Lonchura striata: one gene and its partner. The protein of the gene in region 1 interacts with the protein of each later gene in a pairwise test. Links are inferred from orthologs where the notes say so. Each region holds a gene or a part of one and is shown in the gene's direction. Other genes may lie near its edges.

Region 1 (7,794 bases):
CACACCACCAGCAAAACTCCATGGTAAATAATTGCATCTCAGCAGAACTCCCCATAGATTTACAATTATTACCAGACACATCAGACTTAATTTTCAGGCTGCAGACTTTGTAGCCTAAGCATCTACGGACACTGTCCAAACCACAGCAGCATGGGGTACAGTATCAACAGGCAGTTCCTGCCAGCACTGTATGGCCACATCTACTGTTACAGATACTATAAAGAATATCTTAGATCTCTATTTCAGATATAACCTTACATCATACACCACCCAACCCATAAAATGCCTCACCTGTGCCCAAGAGAAGGGCTGACTTCACCACACAATCTTTCCATACCTTCACCACAAACTCATGCTCATAATGGATTCTGACAATGGTATTTGTGCTGGTTTTTGCTGGGGTAGAATTAAGGTTTCTTCCACAGTAGCTGTGCTTTGGATCTGTGCTGGAAGCAGTGCTGGTAGCACAGGGATGTTTTGGGCATTGCTGAGCAGAGCTCACACAGAGCCAAGGCCTCCTCTGCCTCACACAACCCACCAGTGAGGAGCTGGGAGGGGACACAGCCAGGACAGCTGACCCCAAGGGATATCCCAAGGGATATCCCAACCATGTGGGGCCATGCTCAGCACACAGAGCTGGGGGGAGGAGAAGAACATTCCAGGGACATTCAGAGCCCTGGGGTTTTGTCTTCCCATGTCACCTTTGCATGGGATGGGCCCCTGCTCTCCTGATGAACACCTGCCCAGCCATGGGAAGTGGGGAATGAAATAGGAATAGTCAGATCCATCAGGCCAATGCATGGCTCCGAGGTTGGTCTCAGTGGAAAAATGTGGGGGTTTTTGACCATGGGAAGATCTCCTCAGCAGCTGTACTACTCTGCCACCTGACTGGGTACATCAATCAGAGCAGAAAAGGTGCTCTAGCACAGGAGCTAGCAAGCTCATTGACAGAGCTTTAAACCAGCTTGGAAGAGGGAAAGAGACATAACCAGGCTCACCAGTGCCGAGGGATGGGACGCTGCGCCACAAGGAGGAAACGAGCACTTACAGATCCCTCAATCTGCTTCACAAAGTTTGCCTACAAAGTACCACACCTAAAATGTTCCTACACTAATGCACACAGCACCAGGAACAAACAAGAGCAGCTCCAGGCTTTGGCCCAGTCCCAGAGCTTGACATCATTGTATAAGTGAAACCTGGTGTGATGAGTCTTGTGCCAGGAATTCCCTGTTGGATGGTTACACACTCTACAGGTGGGAGAGGCAGAGCAGAAGAGACAGAGGGGTGGCACTGTATGGAATAGAAGGGTTAGAATGCATGGAGCTCCCAGCTGGCAAGGGCACAGTTGAGAGCCTCTGGATAAAATCAAGAGGCAAACAAGTAACACAGATGTCATCGTGGGAGTCTGCCACAGACCTCCTATGCAGGACAATGACACTGACAAACTTTTCTTTGAGCATCTTTGATGCTTTCAAATCAACTGCTTGCGTCCTTATGGGAGACTTATACTTCCAGAAATTAACTGGTACAACCTGGGCCAGAGAATTCCTAAAAATTCCAGATGACAGCTTCATGGAACAGGTCCTAAGGGAGCCGACTCAGAAAGATCCCCTCACTGACCTGCTGCTTGTCAACAGAGAGGATCTTGTGAGCAAAGTGGGGACTGGGGCTGTCATGGCCATAGTGACCATGAAGTGATTGAGTTTAAAATCTCTGTTGACAGGAGGAAAAGTGCCAGCAGAACTTCAACCCTAGGCATGAGGAGAGCAGATTGCAGGCTGCTCAGGGAGTTAGTCAGCAAGGTCCCCTGGGAATGTATTTTTGCAGATGCTGGGATCAGCCAGTGCTGGTTGCTTTTTAAACACCTCCTAAGTGCACAGGAGCAGCAACTCCCAAATGTTGGAAACTAGGCTGGTGAGGAAGAAGGCCAGATTGGCTGAACAGAAATCATCTCTTGGAAATAAGGCAAGAAAGGAAAGTGTATGGCCAGTGGAAGCAAGGCCAGGAGACATGGGAAGAATACAGATATGTTGCTTGCAGCTGTAGGGATAAAATTCATGAGGCCAAAGCTCAGCTAGAGTTGAAGCTGACAGAACTGTAGGGAACAATAAAAAGGAGTTTTTTCAAATGTAATAATGGCAGGAGGAAGTGTAGAAATAACATCAGCCCGTTCCAGGATGAAGATGGTCACCTCATGAACAGGGACATGGACAAGGCAGAGCTGTTTAACACATTCATTGCCTCTGCCTTCAACATGGATGACAGACCGAGGGGGTCTCAGTGCCTCAAGCTAGAGGACCATGACTGAAAAAATTATCAATTCTCAGCTGACCCTGAAACTGTGCAGGATCTCCTGCTCCAGTTGAATCCCTACAAATCCATGGGGCCTGATGGGCCCCATCCAAGATTCCACAAAGAACTGATGATGTCATTGCAAAACCTCTCTCTATGATTTATGAGCCGTGTTGGGAATCCCAGGTAACTAGAAGCTGGAAAATGTTGTCCCAGTTTTCAAGAAGGGCAAGAAAGAGGATCCTGGAAATTAAACCTGTCAGTGTCACTTCAGTGCCTGGCAGTGTTATGGAGAAGATTATTCTGGGAGGCATTGAAAAACACCTGAAAAAAATGCAGTCATTGGTCACAGCCAGCACAGCCTCATGAGAGAGGAGTCCTGCTTATCAAATCTGGCTTCCTTGTAGGACAAAGCAGCCCACCAAGTTGATCAAGGGAAGCCTGTTGATGTAATCTTTCTGGATTTCAGTAAATCTGAATCTGAACTTTTGATACTGTCTCTCCCAAGATCCTTCTGGACAAAAGGCACATCCCACAAACACATTATGGGATGAGTGAACAACTGGCTCACGGGTCTGGTGCAAAGGGTGACGGTGAATGGGGCAGACATCAGACTGGTGACCTGTCATTAGCAGGGTTCCACATGGCTCCATCCTAAGGCCTGTGTTCTTCAACATCTTCATAAATGACTTGGACACAGGACTGGAAGGGACACTGAGCAAGTTTACAGATGATACAAAACTGGGAGGGGCTGCTGACCCTGTTGAAGGCAGGGAGACCTTGCAGAGAGACCTCAACAGATCAGAGGACTGAGCAATCATCAACCACACGAAGTTCAACAGGGGAAAGGGCTGGATTCTACACCTGGAACAGGGCAACCATCTTTCCTCTCTGGTGACCAGTGACAGGACTTGGGCTAAAGGCCTGAAGCTGTGGCAGGGGAGGATTAGGCTGGATTTTAGAAAAAGGTTCTTGACTCAGAGGGAAGATGGGCACTGGAACAGGATCCCCAGGGAAGTGGTCAGAGCCCCAAGCCTGACGGACCTCAAGAAGTGTTTGGACAATTCTCTCAGGCACATGACTCTTGGGGATGGTCCTGACCAGGATCAGGAGTTGGACTTGATGATCTTTATGGGTCCCTTCCAACTCAGCTTATTCTGTGATTCTATGTGAAATCTGTGCTTTTATTTGCTTGTGTGCACAACTTTTGTTTCATTTATTAAACTGCCTTTATCTGAGTCCATAAGTTCCCTCACTTTAACTCTTCCAATTCTCTCCACCATCCTGCCAGGGGTTGGGAGTGAGCAGCTGTGTAAGGATTTGTTACCAGCTGGGGTTAAACCATGATAATATTTTACAAAGAGAGGGAAAAAACATAAAAGTATCTGTAATGCATCAGGAAATTTTACGTGAAAGAATTGCCTTTGCCTCTGACTTTTCATACTGTTGCAACTCATAAAATAACTTTCTGAAGAACTACATTCCACAGATGAACTCCTTTTCTAGCACAGGTGCTCACTTGATAATATTTTGAGAGACCTGGGAGAAGGTTAAGAAGCCAGCTCTTACATCATTAGCTATGAGAAGGCTTATATATCAATTCCCCATCATAAATACATAATATTTTAGTAATCTAAAAAATCAGAATTGTGGCAAGCATTTTTAATAAAATATCAACAATCAAGCAGCATGATGAACTGTTTAAAATTACAGACCAATTTTTGTTGCTGGAGTGTAGGAAGAGTAGCAATGAAAATCTCATCTCTGTGTTACACAGATGTGGTAGGTTTTGGCCAAGTCAAGGTTTTAAGCAATGAAATTCTATATAGTAACAGGGTTTCTCTGTGTAGTGGTTCAAGTGCATTGAAGTTGTTCCACCTATGTTTCTTTCTCAGTTTTATTTACAGCTTAGTTTCAATTACCTCTTTTAATTGCTTTTCCTCCAACAGTTCATTTCTGTGCATTCAATAACAAATGTAGAAGTTCTAGGTTTTTGAGGATTCTGTAGTTACAGGTCATCCTGAAGGATTTCTGCACTGTTTCACTGTGTTTATTAAACCGAACACTCCATCAAAGTCAGGAATATTTTACTATTTAAATAATACATTTTCCCAAGTTTGCCTTTAGGGTTGCAAAACTGACGTTACCATCTGATGGGTTTCCCTGTGACCGAAACCTTCAGGTTCTGATGGAAACTTAATGAAAGAGCGAAAAATAGTAATTTGAAAAGGCTGAAATGCAAAGCAGCTGCCAAGAGTGATACAATGCCGCTCCAGAGGCTCTTGGATGAATCAGCAAAACCCACATATGCATCTATAGGGGCCACTGCATGAGCGAGGAGAAGGCATCGGGTGCCCATAGGTGCTGCGGGAGCAGCGGATTCCCTGTCCAATGAGGTGGAATGCTCCGCGGGCACATGGTTTACGCTGCTCAAAATAACTCGGGACCTGCAAACTGACAAATGCTATTGCTCCGGTGGTGACAGGTTGTCCAGCTCCTTACAGCCATCCTCACAATAACGAAGGTTAACTTCCCTCACTCCATGGACTCCTAGCTGTTTCTGTTCCTGAGGACTCGAAGAATCCCCTCGCTTCCTTACTTTAACCTCACACTTCTGGATAACTCTCAGCGCTACTCACTGCCAGGTTGGGCAGCAACATCTGGAGGAATTAAAAAAGGTAATCCCTCCGTTTCAGATTAGTCTACCTTTTGATTTTGCAGAGTGTAGCAGAAGGGTTTGACAAGCATGTATATTTGAATGCTAATTATAGCTGGTAAGGCATATACAGGGAACAAATATGTTTTTAAACTGACTTAGATTATGCTGAGGTATGTGCATTGCAGTGAAAGAGAAACGGTGTTCTGCGGCATTATAAAGGACCTGAATAGCATTGGTGGGGTTCTCAAAATCCCTTGGAGCCAGTCTGACTCCTCTAAAGAGTCAACAAGATTCTAATGACCTGAAAAGTTCCTTGCTGGGACTCTTTCCTCTTCCTGTTCATCTTTCCTTCATGAAATAATGGAGGAGTGAAATATATACATTATTGTATTCAGACTTAAAACCAACATGCCGTCATTTGGAAGTCCTTCTTAAGCAAAATCAAACCTAATTTAATGTGACCCCCATAGTTAAATGCTTTCTATTTATTTAATTATTTATCCTGTCATGTAAAATGACCCCCGTGGCTATATTTAGTGCAGGGAGATCTGCTCTCCGGATTAATGTACACAACAGCTGCAGAAACAGTCCTGCTAGAAGGGCATAGCTCTCACCCTTGAGCTCACTATCTCCTTTGCTCTCTTTCTCTCTCTCAGAAAAGTATTTGACTGTCAGTAGCAAATGTTTGGCTCAATATATTGCAACATTAAGCAGTAATCAGAAGCCCACGTTAAGTTACCAAATAATACATCAACAATTGACAAGAGAACAGAGTAGTTCCTGAGCATACATTAATAGAACATTATACAAATCATGCTAAAGACACTGATTACTTTATCAGCAGTTTTGTTTCGGTCATGAGGTTTCCATTTGTGAAGATGCTCTAGAGTTTAAGAGTGAAAACAAAATCAGCAAGCGTTAATGGAACAATTTCATAAACTTCAACTCTGCTCTTCTCCCTCTCCTACACCTCCTGAAGGTTCCTAAGGTCAGGATATTTCTTTGTTTTTGTGTGTCTTTAAGTTTGTGGTTTTTTTACTTTCAGAAATAGCTAACAAAATTTAACAGCAATAGAGTGGTAGTTCCTGTAGCTGAGCAGAATAATGTTTTACATATCAAAGAATATTTATAGTCAATTCAGGAGATATTAAAGGTCTTGGACATGGCAGAGTAACAAGCACAAAGGGGAACTGTGTGATCTGTGCTGGTTTTTATTTCTGTGCATTCTTCAGAGACTTTGCAGCAGGTCTTGCTGTGATACGAAAGGAATTTTTTTTATCCAAAGCCAGTAACAATTAGTAGTCTAGGCATATTTGCACATAAACACAACATTAAGATAATTTGTCAAAAATGTACACAATACCATAAAGGTAATTGGGCAATGCAACCTCAATTGTAATCTAAACCACAGGATGAGGGGGGAAAGAAATAAGGATCAGTTTACTTTTCTGTTTAAAACATAAGTGGCTTAGTGCTTGTTTTCATAAACAGGAATATTGTACAGGAATGGGCAAATTATTCCTGTCGAATATAAGTCTCATTTAAACATTGCAAGTTTGAAAATATGATTAAAATATGAGGGCTTTTATGTTACAATGTTCTTAGGGAAGACCGTTGAAAAAAACATTAAAAAAAGACAGATGAGTGTATAAAAAGAAATACAGTGAGACCATGAAAAAAGAAAGGTCCAACTGAAAAATCTGAGGAGAAAAACACAATCCAGCCTTTTTTTGTGTCTAATTTAACACTTAAGTTCCCTTTTCCACTGGGAACCTGTATTTGTAGGAAAACTGAATCTCATTTTAAATCCAACCAGCCCACGGATTTGAAATTTCCAGACAAATGCCATGTGGTTTGCACAGCCCTGCTTTTTCAGCCTGCACTTGCTGAGTCTGGCTGCACAAGCTGGCAGTGCTGCAGTCACCAGCACTCGTGTGGGAGTCCCTGACACTGGTGCCCTCACACACAGGGGGAGAACAGAGACTTCTGCTCAGCACGTTGAGTTGTGCAAATTCTCATTACAGTGCCAATGCAGGGCTGTCATTTGTCAGTCCAGGCTCAGCTGTGCAGCACCTCTGAGCACTGAGAGCTCAGCTGTAGTTTCAGTCCCAAGCTGAAATCCTCAGCCACGTGCATGTGTGGATTTGTGCACTGCTCCCACACACTGCCAGCAGGACTCACAGAAATGGCTGAGTTTAGATCATTTGGCTCACAATCCATGGAAAAGGATTTGCAGTCTAGCAGAGTGGTGTGCGTGTGTTTGAACCAGGATAAATGAATATTGTTGCCTGTTAATTATATTTTCATTGAGGACTTCCATATGTACATTCAGCATCAAATTGTTGGATCTCTGCTGCAGCTGTTTTGGCCTTTCATATGAACTTTTTCTCATTTGGGCAATCCTTGAAGGAAAGAGGACTATATAAAATACTTGAATTGTCCTACATTGTGAGCACTTGAAGTTCCCTCATAACTTACCCGGATACTTGAGGCTTGGCTGCACAGGTCTTTGGGAGAGGAGGATGGAGAACCATCCCAGACAGGCCTCAAAGACAGCCATCACCTGCCTTTCTTTCCAAACTTTTAATTTAAAAATCAGATGAAAATGTATTTGTTTCAATGAGAAGTTGTTTCTTCAAGATATTGTTTGCTTTGCAGTTCAAGGAGATCCACTGAGGAGGAAAAAGGAACTTGAAACATGGGATAAAGAGTCTCAGTTCTCATTTTGAGAACTACTAAGGGACAATATTAATTATGGAATAAGGAAGACTTTCTGTGATAAGAGTGAAAAATCAAACGTCTTTTCATTATATGAGAGTACAAAGGAAATGTTGTAAAAGTTA
Region 2 (7,490 bases), about 19 Mb from region 1:
ATTTTCTTATCCTATTTGCAGCCAAGGAAGTATCTATCCTCCAGCCCAAAGAGGATGACCAACATATGATATAATGTAATTGTAAATTTGCACCCTCACTGGTATTATTGGAATCAAAGGAGATATTTGTTAAACAGAGCTTGGATAAAAATCCAGTGATATCTTACTGCCAATGAAACTTCATGAAAGGGAAGAAATAGCTTTTCAGCAAATTTAATGTGAAGCAGATTTACACATTTACATTTTAATTGCAAACTGTTAAAAGCAAAAACAAAACCCAAACCAATAAACCCTCTCTTCCCAAAATTAAAAAAGAAAAGGGTTATTTTTCCAGGTAATAGTGATTTTAAAATTATTCTCAAGCTATTTATAACATTATAGTGGATATGACTCCAATAAATGAGAAAGAGAGAGGCTGCCTGAGTGCACATCTTATAAGAGAGTTGTGACACACTACTGTTTTGCTAAGAGATTACAAAATCAATGCTTTGTGAAAACATTCCTGTATTTTAAAGCAAAATCCATCCAATTCTTTATCACCTTGATTCCCTGAGCTCCTTTTTATTCACAAGGAGCAGGAATCTCCCTCAGGTAGAGCATCCACTTGGGCTGCATCCAAAGATATCATAGGCCAGCTTCAGTGCCAGGAAAGCAGAGAAGCTCCTTTTCATTTTTTTTTTAGCTCCCAAGATGTTTTGACCGGCTGAAAATTATGAAAGAGTTAACAACAGGCTGACTGACATGACTTAGTTCTGGGAAAACAGGGCGAAGAGCTAACCAAAGCTTTATCAAGACAGAATCAGACAAGTTACACGAAATGGATGCCAATCTGTAGGGCTAGGTGCAAAGAAAACCTTTTTTAAAAAGTGTCTTTTTGCAGAATTAAAGGTCTGTTTGAGAGTAGCATTCACGTTAATGCAGTTTACTTGGGTCTTGCCAAAGGCATTTCATTTTATTGCATATGTTGGTATGATTAAAAAGCATGCATTGTATGGAATTAAAAGGATGCACTTTGGAAGAACTAAAAGTTGGCTCACTGACAGATTGCAAAGTGGTGAGAGTAATGAGAGGAACTATTTCTAGCAGATTCCCACATGGATCAGTTCCTGGTTCAACATCGTTTAGTATTTTCATCACGTGTCCAAACAATGATGTAAAATCATAGTTAACTTATTCCCAAATCAGTTAACTTCTTGACAAAAGTATTGAAGAGAATATGTTAGACAAATAAAAGTGTTTCCTGCCTTTTATGAAAAAAAAACAGCTAAAAGAAAGATGAGAAAATAAATGCATTTCTTGCAATATGCAGTTACATACTGCTGTTTCATGTGGATATATAAAGTGTGCTGGGTGCACACACACACTGCAAAATAAACAAGCCATTGCACACTAACATATCACTAAACCAGGAGGAGTAACCTGTGGTTGCTGCTTCTGTGTACCTTGGTTAAGAATTTATCTTTGCACACATATGGAACAGTTTGCTGGCTCAATAACCTCTTAGGTGCATAAGCACTCCTCAGCAAGTGATTTTCTCATACCTTACTTACTTAGCAGCAGGGAAAGGACAACAGGCAGCCAGGCACAGTGGCATCCAAGGGCAGCACCTATGGGTGCATGGACAGAGCCAAGGGCAGAGTGCTGGAAAATGCAAGACAGATGAGCAGTGACACCACTGAACACACGACCGTGGCACACTTGACAGGAGGTGGCAATAACATTTTTATCATACATGATACTTTCACACTAGCATTAATCACTTAGAGAAATTAATGACAAACATTCTTTACTCTTGTCAGTTCAATTTTGGTAGCAGGGAACAGGGTGTGCCACAGTTCTCTGCCTGTCATGATGAGCCTACTGTCCTTTCGTGTTTTCTCTGTGGAGGAGTTTTGTGACAATATCCAGTTGCCTCACACCTTGCAGATGATTTCTCTGCCCTTATCCTTCAGTGGAGTGGCAAGAGTTTTTTAGATTCCTGTTACACATCACCCACTGACCATCTGCTATTACCACCTTAACGAGAAATCACTTGATGAAAGGTGATTGAGTGGTTACTGTCCAGTACAAGGTTACAAGCTCATTATACTACTTCCCCCTCCAATATGAAGCAATAGTGATAAGCCAAGAGTCTTAGCTGATACAAACTGGTGCATTTCTGCTATTTCAATCGTGTTGCCTTTGTTTACATGACATTTAGCTTAAAAGCAATTACTGTTAGGTTAATTTAGATCCCAGGCTTTGGTTAAAGTGGGTTTCTGGGTGCCACTATTTCAAAATAGAAAGTTTGGATAATCAAGGAATATTCTATTTTTTATTATTCTTTTAGTCATCATGGATGGGTTGCTTTAAAGATGAATAAACAGTGGTGTTTTGGCAGCACTTGTGAGAATTGGTTTCTGTTTCCCCTCAGAGCACTGAGGTTTCCTGTAAAGCTACTCTAGCTCTGGATTTATGTACCATTTGCAAAGGAAGATCTATCCCCTTAAAGCTTCCACATTAAGGAAGCTTCCACATTTGCTGAGTCAGTTTTATATCTCAGGCTGTTAAAAAAAAAAGAAAAAGAAGGCAAGCAAAAAAAGGGAAAAGTAAGCTTCAAAAAAATGAGTCCAGAGGAAGTTCACAGTTCCTTAAACAATTTCTGTTCTAAAAGCAAACCTCTACATTTTTTTTCTGCATCAGGTCTCTGCTGTCATCTGTTTTCACTAAACAGGAAGCATTCTATCCAGCCATCCTGTTAGAGTTGTGGATTTCAAGACAATCTCCCAAGTAAAAATCAGAGAACTGATCAGATTGAGGTAAACTGTTAGAACACAAGAAAATGCCAGAGCTGCCTCTTGTCACAGAGACATTTACCAGGAGTACAAAACTGCAGTGAAAAAAAGCCTGGCAGTGAGATTCAGAACATACCACTGGGGGGTAATGATAGCGTTGCTGTACTTAAGTTTAGAAAAAAATGTTCTGAAAGGTTGTGTTGCTAGCACATACTCTATTTTAGTTCTGGGACTCATTCTCTAATGTCATATATATTCTGAGTGGTAAAGGAACCACCTGATGTCCAGCTTCATTTCAGGGAAAGGGAGGGCATAGGTATGATGGGCACCAGAAGACAAGTTTGGATGTACTCGGATTACTGGGGGATAGTTCAGAGGAGAGACACCTTGAAAGGTCAGTGTCAGGAATGCAGCATGCTAATGATGCTGATGGTATAAACAACACCCGAGCTAGGTCTCCATTTGGTGAAGCACTTGTGTACATGTTGTGCTTGGAGCACCTGAGCTGCTGTATTCATTTCAGCCAGGTGACCTGCGTGCCTCACCGGACAGCACTTCCAGGCATTGCACTGTCGCAGAACCGATGTGTCTTGGCATTTACTCACACTCTTTGAATGCAAAGATTAGTGCCTCTTCCTCCTATAAAGCTGCTTTCTGCTGGTGATCATTCTCCTGATTCCAGACTGCTTTGATTCATAGCATAAGAAAAGCTTTCCCAAAGGATTCAATAGCCCTTTTCCCCCAAAACACACACATCATCTGCATATATCCGTCTGTATCTCATCTTATCCTAAAAAATAAACAATCACTTCTGGACGTCTATTCTCTCCATATCCAGAAGGAAAATATTGCCCGAGAAAACAGTATTACGTTTTCCCCCCTTCATCTTTTTTTTTCTTTGCATAAACATAATTCATTATTTGGCTTATAATAATTGACAAGGGTCCAAAAAAATGCAAATCTTACTGTTTTGATATCTTACACTGATTGTAGCTCATCATGTCATAGGCCCTTTTAGCACCAGAGACATCATTCTGGTATAGTAATCCCTTCAGAGAATTCCTTCCAACAAATATAGAAGACTGTCATCATGATGAGAAAAAGCCTTTCCCCTAAAAGTGTTTATCATCCAAGAATAAATAGCAATGAAAATAATGGCTTTTTGAGACTTCAGAGGTAATAGTCCATTTAGCAGGAAGATATTGCTATAAGCATTGTACATAAGCCATTTACCCTTTACAGTGTCTTACAGACATCTGAATGTCAATTAAAAAAAAAAAAAAGAAAGAAGAAGATGAAGTTATAATGCTGCATCAACACACAGCTGTCCTAGTGGGCACTGGGAGCACAGAATGTCTGGCATTGCTGAGCAGTGCAGTCATTGCCAAAGGAATGATGAGCTCACATTTCATTCTGATTCCCATACTGTGGTGGGGCTGTGGGGCTCTCCCCCTTCCTGGCCCAGCTGACGCCCCTCGCTGCCTCGACACCAGATCTGGCTCATTAACGTGTCTGGAATGAGCCTGAGCCACCTCTCAGCTGGCAAGCACAAGGGGCATACTCGGATTCCCAGGTTGGAAGATTATCTCATTCAAGCACAGTTCTCCCAAAGATATATAAGTGCAGTGAGCGTGGTGGTTCCTGCAGAGCTGGCCTGAGCCCTGGGAGGTTCCAGCCATACAGGAGCACAGCCTTCGATCACCAGCAAATATGACGATGATGATGAAAGTAGAAGAGCTGGTAGGTGCAACCTTCCTTCATTTACTCACAATTCATTATTTTCTAGACTGCCATTGGACCAGGCACAGAAAGAAGACCTTTGTGGATCACTGATTTAGCAAGTTAGACTGCTGTGGTCTAGGTGCAAACCCTCATATAATGTATATTATATTATATTATATTATATTATATTATATTATATTATATTATATTATATTATATTATATTATATTATATTATATTATATTATATTATATTATATTATATTATATTATAATTTTAAGTTTTCTTTGGGAAAGGGTCTCATCACAGATATAACTATACAGCTGTTTGGATTTGGCATCACAGCATAGTTTACCAGGCAAAGATCAACCAAAATGTAGCTATTTATTTGACTCTGTCCTTGGTTTTAATTCATATATATTTTTAGAAGCCAGTAATTTTATGATCTCACAAAGTAATTCCTATATAACAAGTGACTGGGACAACATAATAGTGCTTGGAAACTACAGTATTTTATAACACTAAATTAGCAGCTTAATAATAGTATTGTTTTCTAATAATAAACTAACCGTTCCTACAGCCACCTCTGTTCATGATGTAAAAGTCTTTGAAAAATTAGGTCTAGACCACAAATAATGGGACATTCCACTGCAGGATTCAGACTAAGAATGTCTGATCTGATGGAGAAACTGGGAAAATGGGAAAGATTCAGTAAAACACTGCACTTATTTTCCCAGATGGTTTGCTTAAGATACAGCTGCCTAAGTAATTAATGCTGTCTTAAAATCTTTGGCAAGGTTCTCACAGTTTCTTCTGCATTAGACTCTAAACAAATAAAATCAAACAGAAAGTCTAGGCCACATGAACCACTCTCAAAATACACATCTGCCTCTACTAAGTTTAACAAGTCATCTCTTCATACACACTTAATTGGCATCAGAAATATTTCTGAAAACTATTGAAAGCTGTGCTGCTGCACAGCACCACATAGCTTCTGCCATTCTGCTATGAGTGGGACTTTGGTACTGACAGCAATGGATAAAACCAGCCTTGAAATCCCTCAGCAACCCGATTTAAGTGCATGGGAGATATGTCCCAACCAGCTGCATCCCCAGCTAACCAAGCACAGGCAGAACGGCCTGTCCTGGCTGTCACACACTGAGAGAGGGCAGGAATGAGCTGCAATCAGCCGAGGCAATCCATGTTTCCAGGTGGTGGCTGCTGCAGTCAGGAATGCATGGATTATATTATATCATGTTTGCCTTTACAGGTGACTGGGAAGAAGGTGGATGATAAAGAGACTGGCAGCTTCCTCCCTGAGGACTTCAAAAACGGAGAGTACGAAGCTGCAGTAAGATTAGAGAAGCAGGAGGACCTAAAGACAATCCCTGAGCACTCACTGGCCCGAGGTGATCTGGCTTATGAGAAGGAGAGAAAACTCGATGCAGAGGTAGGCTCTTGGGTTTTCTGCTTGGATTTTTATCATCATGTATGCATTTCCTGCTGCAGTCCTTGAAGTTCTGCCACTCTCTAAGTTAGAAATACATGGTGAGCTAGAAAAACCCTTGGGAAACTACCATGAAAGAAGGCTGGTCTAAAGCCCACTGGAGACCACGGAGGTGTGCTCACCTCTGTAGCCTGTGGGTGCAGGCAGTAACACATTGAGGCAGAACCTAAACCACCCCATACTGCCTGCCTGAACCCCTGAGACCTCCTCTGCCCAGGCTCAGCTGCTGCTAGCTGTCAGTGCAGGGGGAGCAGTCAGAGCCAGGGAGACACCTTCAGCTTGCACACCTAATGACTGCTACCAAAAATCACTAACCCACAAAAGATGTAAGAGTGCATTTCTGAAGCCAGAAGCCTTAATTAACATGAAAATGTTCTTTTTATGAAAACAAGGCATTACATTTACTAGCACATTTGGGAAGAACAGCTACAAATGAAACTCATACTAGTCTACAGAAAAGTACTAATTTCAATTCCTGGAGCATGACAATTCTCCCTAGATCCTTAAGTACTGATGTTCTTTCCCCCCAATAACACATAACACAGTAGCTGTAATATCTTTTTTTTTTTAATGAATAAGCAATCAACTGGCCTAAAAATTTAAAGTGATTTGGAAATTATCAACTTTAAGTAGCAGGGGAAATAAGATTTTTTCTAAAACATGAAGAGGAAGAAAGTCAGTCTCAGAAACACTAGAATAAAAACTACTTCTTAAACTTCAACATAATTATTTTCTATTAGACCAATGACCTGCAGACCAAACCACACATGCAGAGAACAATAAAAAGAAAAGGTGGAAATAACTTGAGTAAGAATTCAGTTGACAAAACGATATACCATCTGACAGGGTGTCACCAGTGTATTCACCCTTAATCACACAATGGGACAGAATCTGTCATCTGTATTCACCCTGAGTTAACCCATTTGTGACTGTCCTGAAGCCAAGAACACCTAATGGCAGCTCAGTTCAGGCAACACACCTGCCCTTGGTGTCAGCAGTACCCCACACTGATTTCATGCCCAGATGCTTTTTATAAGCAGGTCTAGAGAAACCCTATCTGAAAAAAAAATTAAACTATTTATTTCTAAGTTCATCCAGTCTTAGTTGAATTCAGCTGAATAGTATCACATTGCTGTCCTGGCACTCTGAAAGGGAGAGGTGGTCACACAGCTCAACTTGCTGTTTTCCCTGATTTGTTCCAGCTGAAGAAGAAGAAATTAGAGGCCAGGTCAAAACTTGAAAATTTGGAGGATCTTGAAAAAATTATTGAGCTGAAGAAGAAGAAAAGATGCAAGAAAGTGAAAGTGCCTGTTTTAAAGAAACCTGAACCAGAAGTTATTGTAAGTTACTTCCAAGTAGCTTATTCTGGGAAAGTATTAATCAGGGTTTGTGCCACACACATTTATGTTCTCTATATTCTTTCCTTCAGACAGGACCCGTGGATATTCCCACATTCTTCAAAGCTGCACTGGAGAATAAGTTGCCAG

Evidence for each region.
Region 2: the proteins of MYPN (region 1) and ANKRD1 interact in a two-hybrid assay, tested with the Homo sapiens proteins (2 studies listed by BioGRID). The link is inferred for Lonchura striata from reciprocal best matches to the Homo sapiens genes MYPN and ANKRD1.

The regions. Positions count from the first base shown.
Region 1 is NC_134609.1:35,268,744-35,276,537, reverse strand, and holds the start of MYPN (myopalladin), read left to right. Parts: upstream 1-4,739; 5' UTR 4,740-4,970; intron 4,971-7,794. UniProt on the Homo sapiens protein: Component of the sarcomere that tethers together nebulin (skeletal muscle) and nebulette (cardiac muscle) to alpha-actinin, at the Z lines.
Region 2 is NC_134609.1:16,243,657-16,251,146, reverse strand, and holds the start of ANKRD1 (ankyrin repeat domain-containing protein 1), read left to right. Parts: upstream 1-4,436; 5' UTR 4,437-4,484; coding exon 4,485-4,514; intron 4,515-5,766; coding exon 5,767-5,946; intron 5,947-7,205; coding exon 7,206-7,343; intron 7,344-7,432; coding exon 7,433-7,490. UniProt on the Homo sapiens protein: May play an important role in endothelial cell activation. May act as a nuclear transcription factor that negatively regulates the expression of cardiac genes. Induction seems to be correlated with apoptotic cell death in hepatoma cells.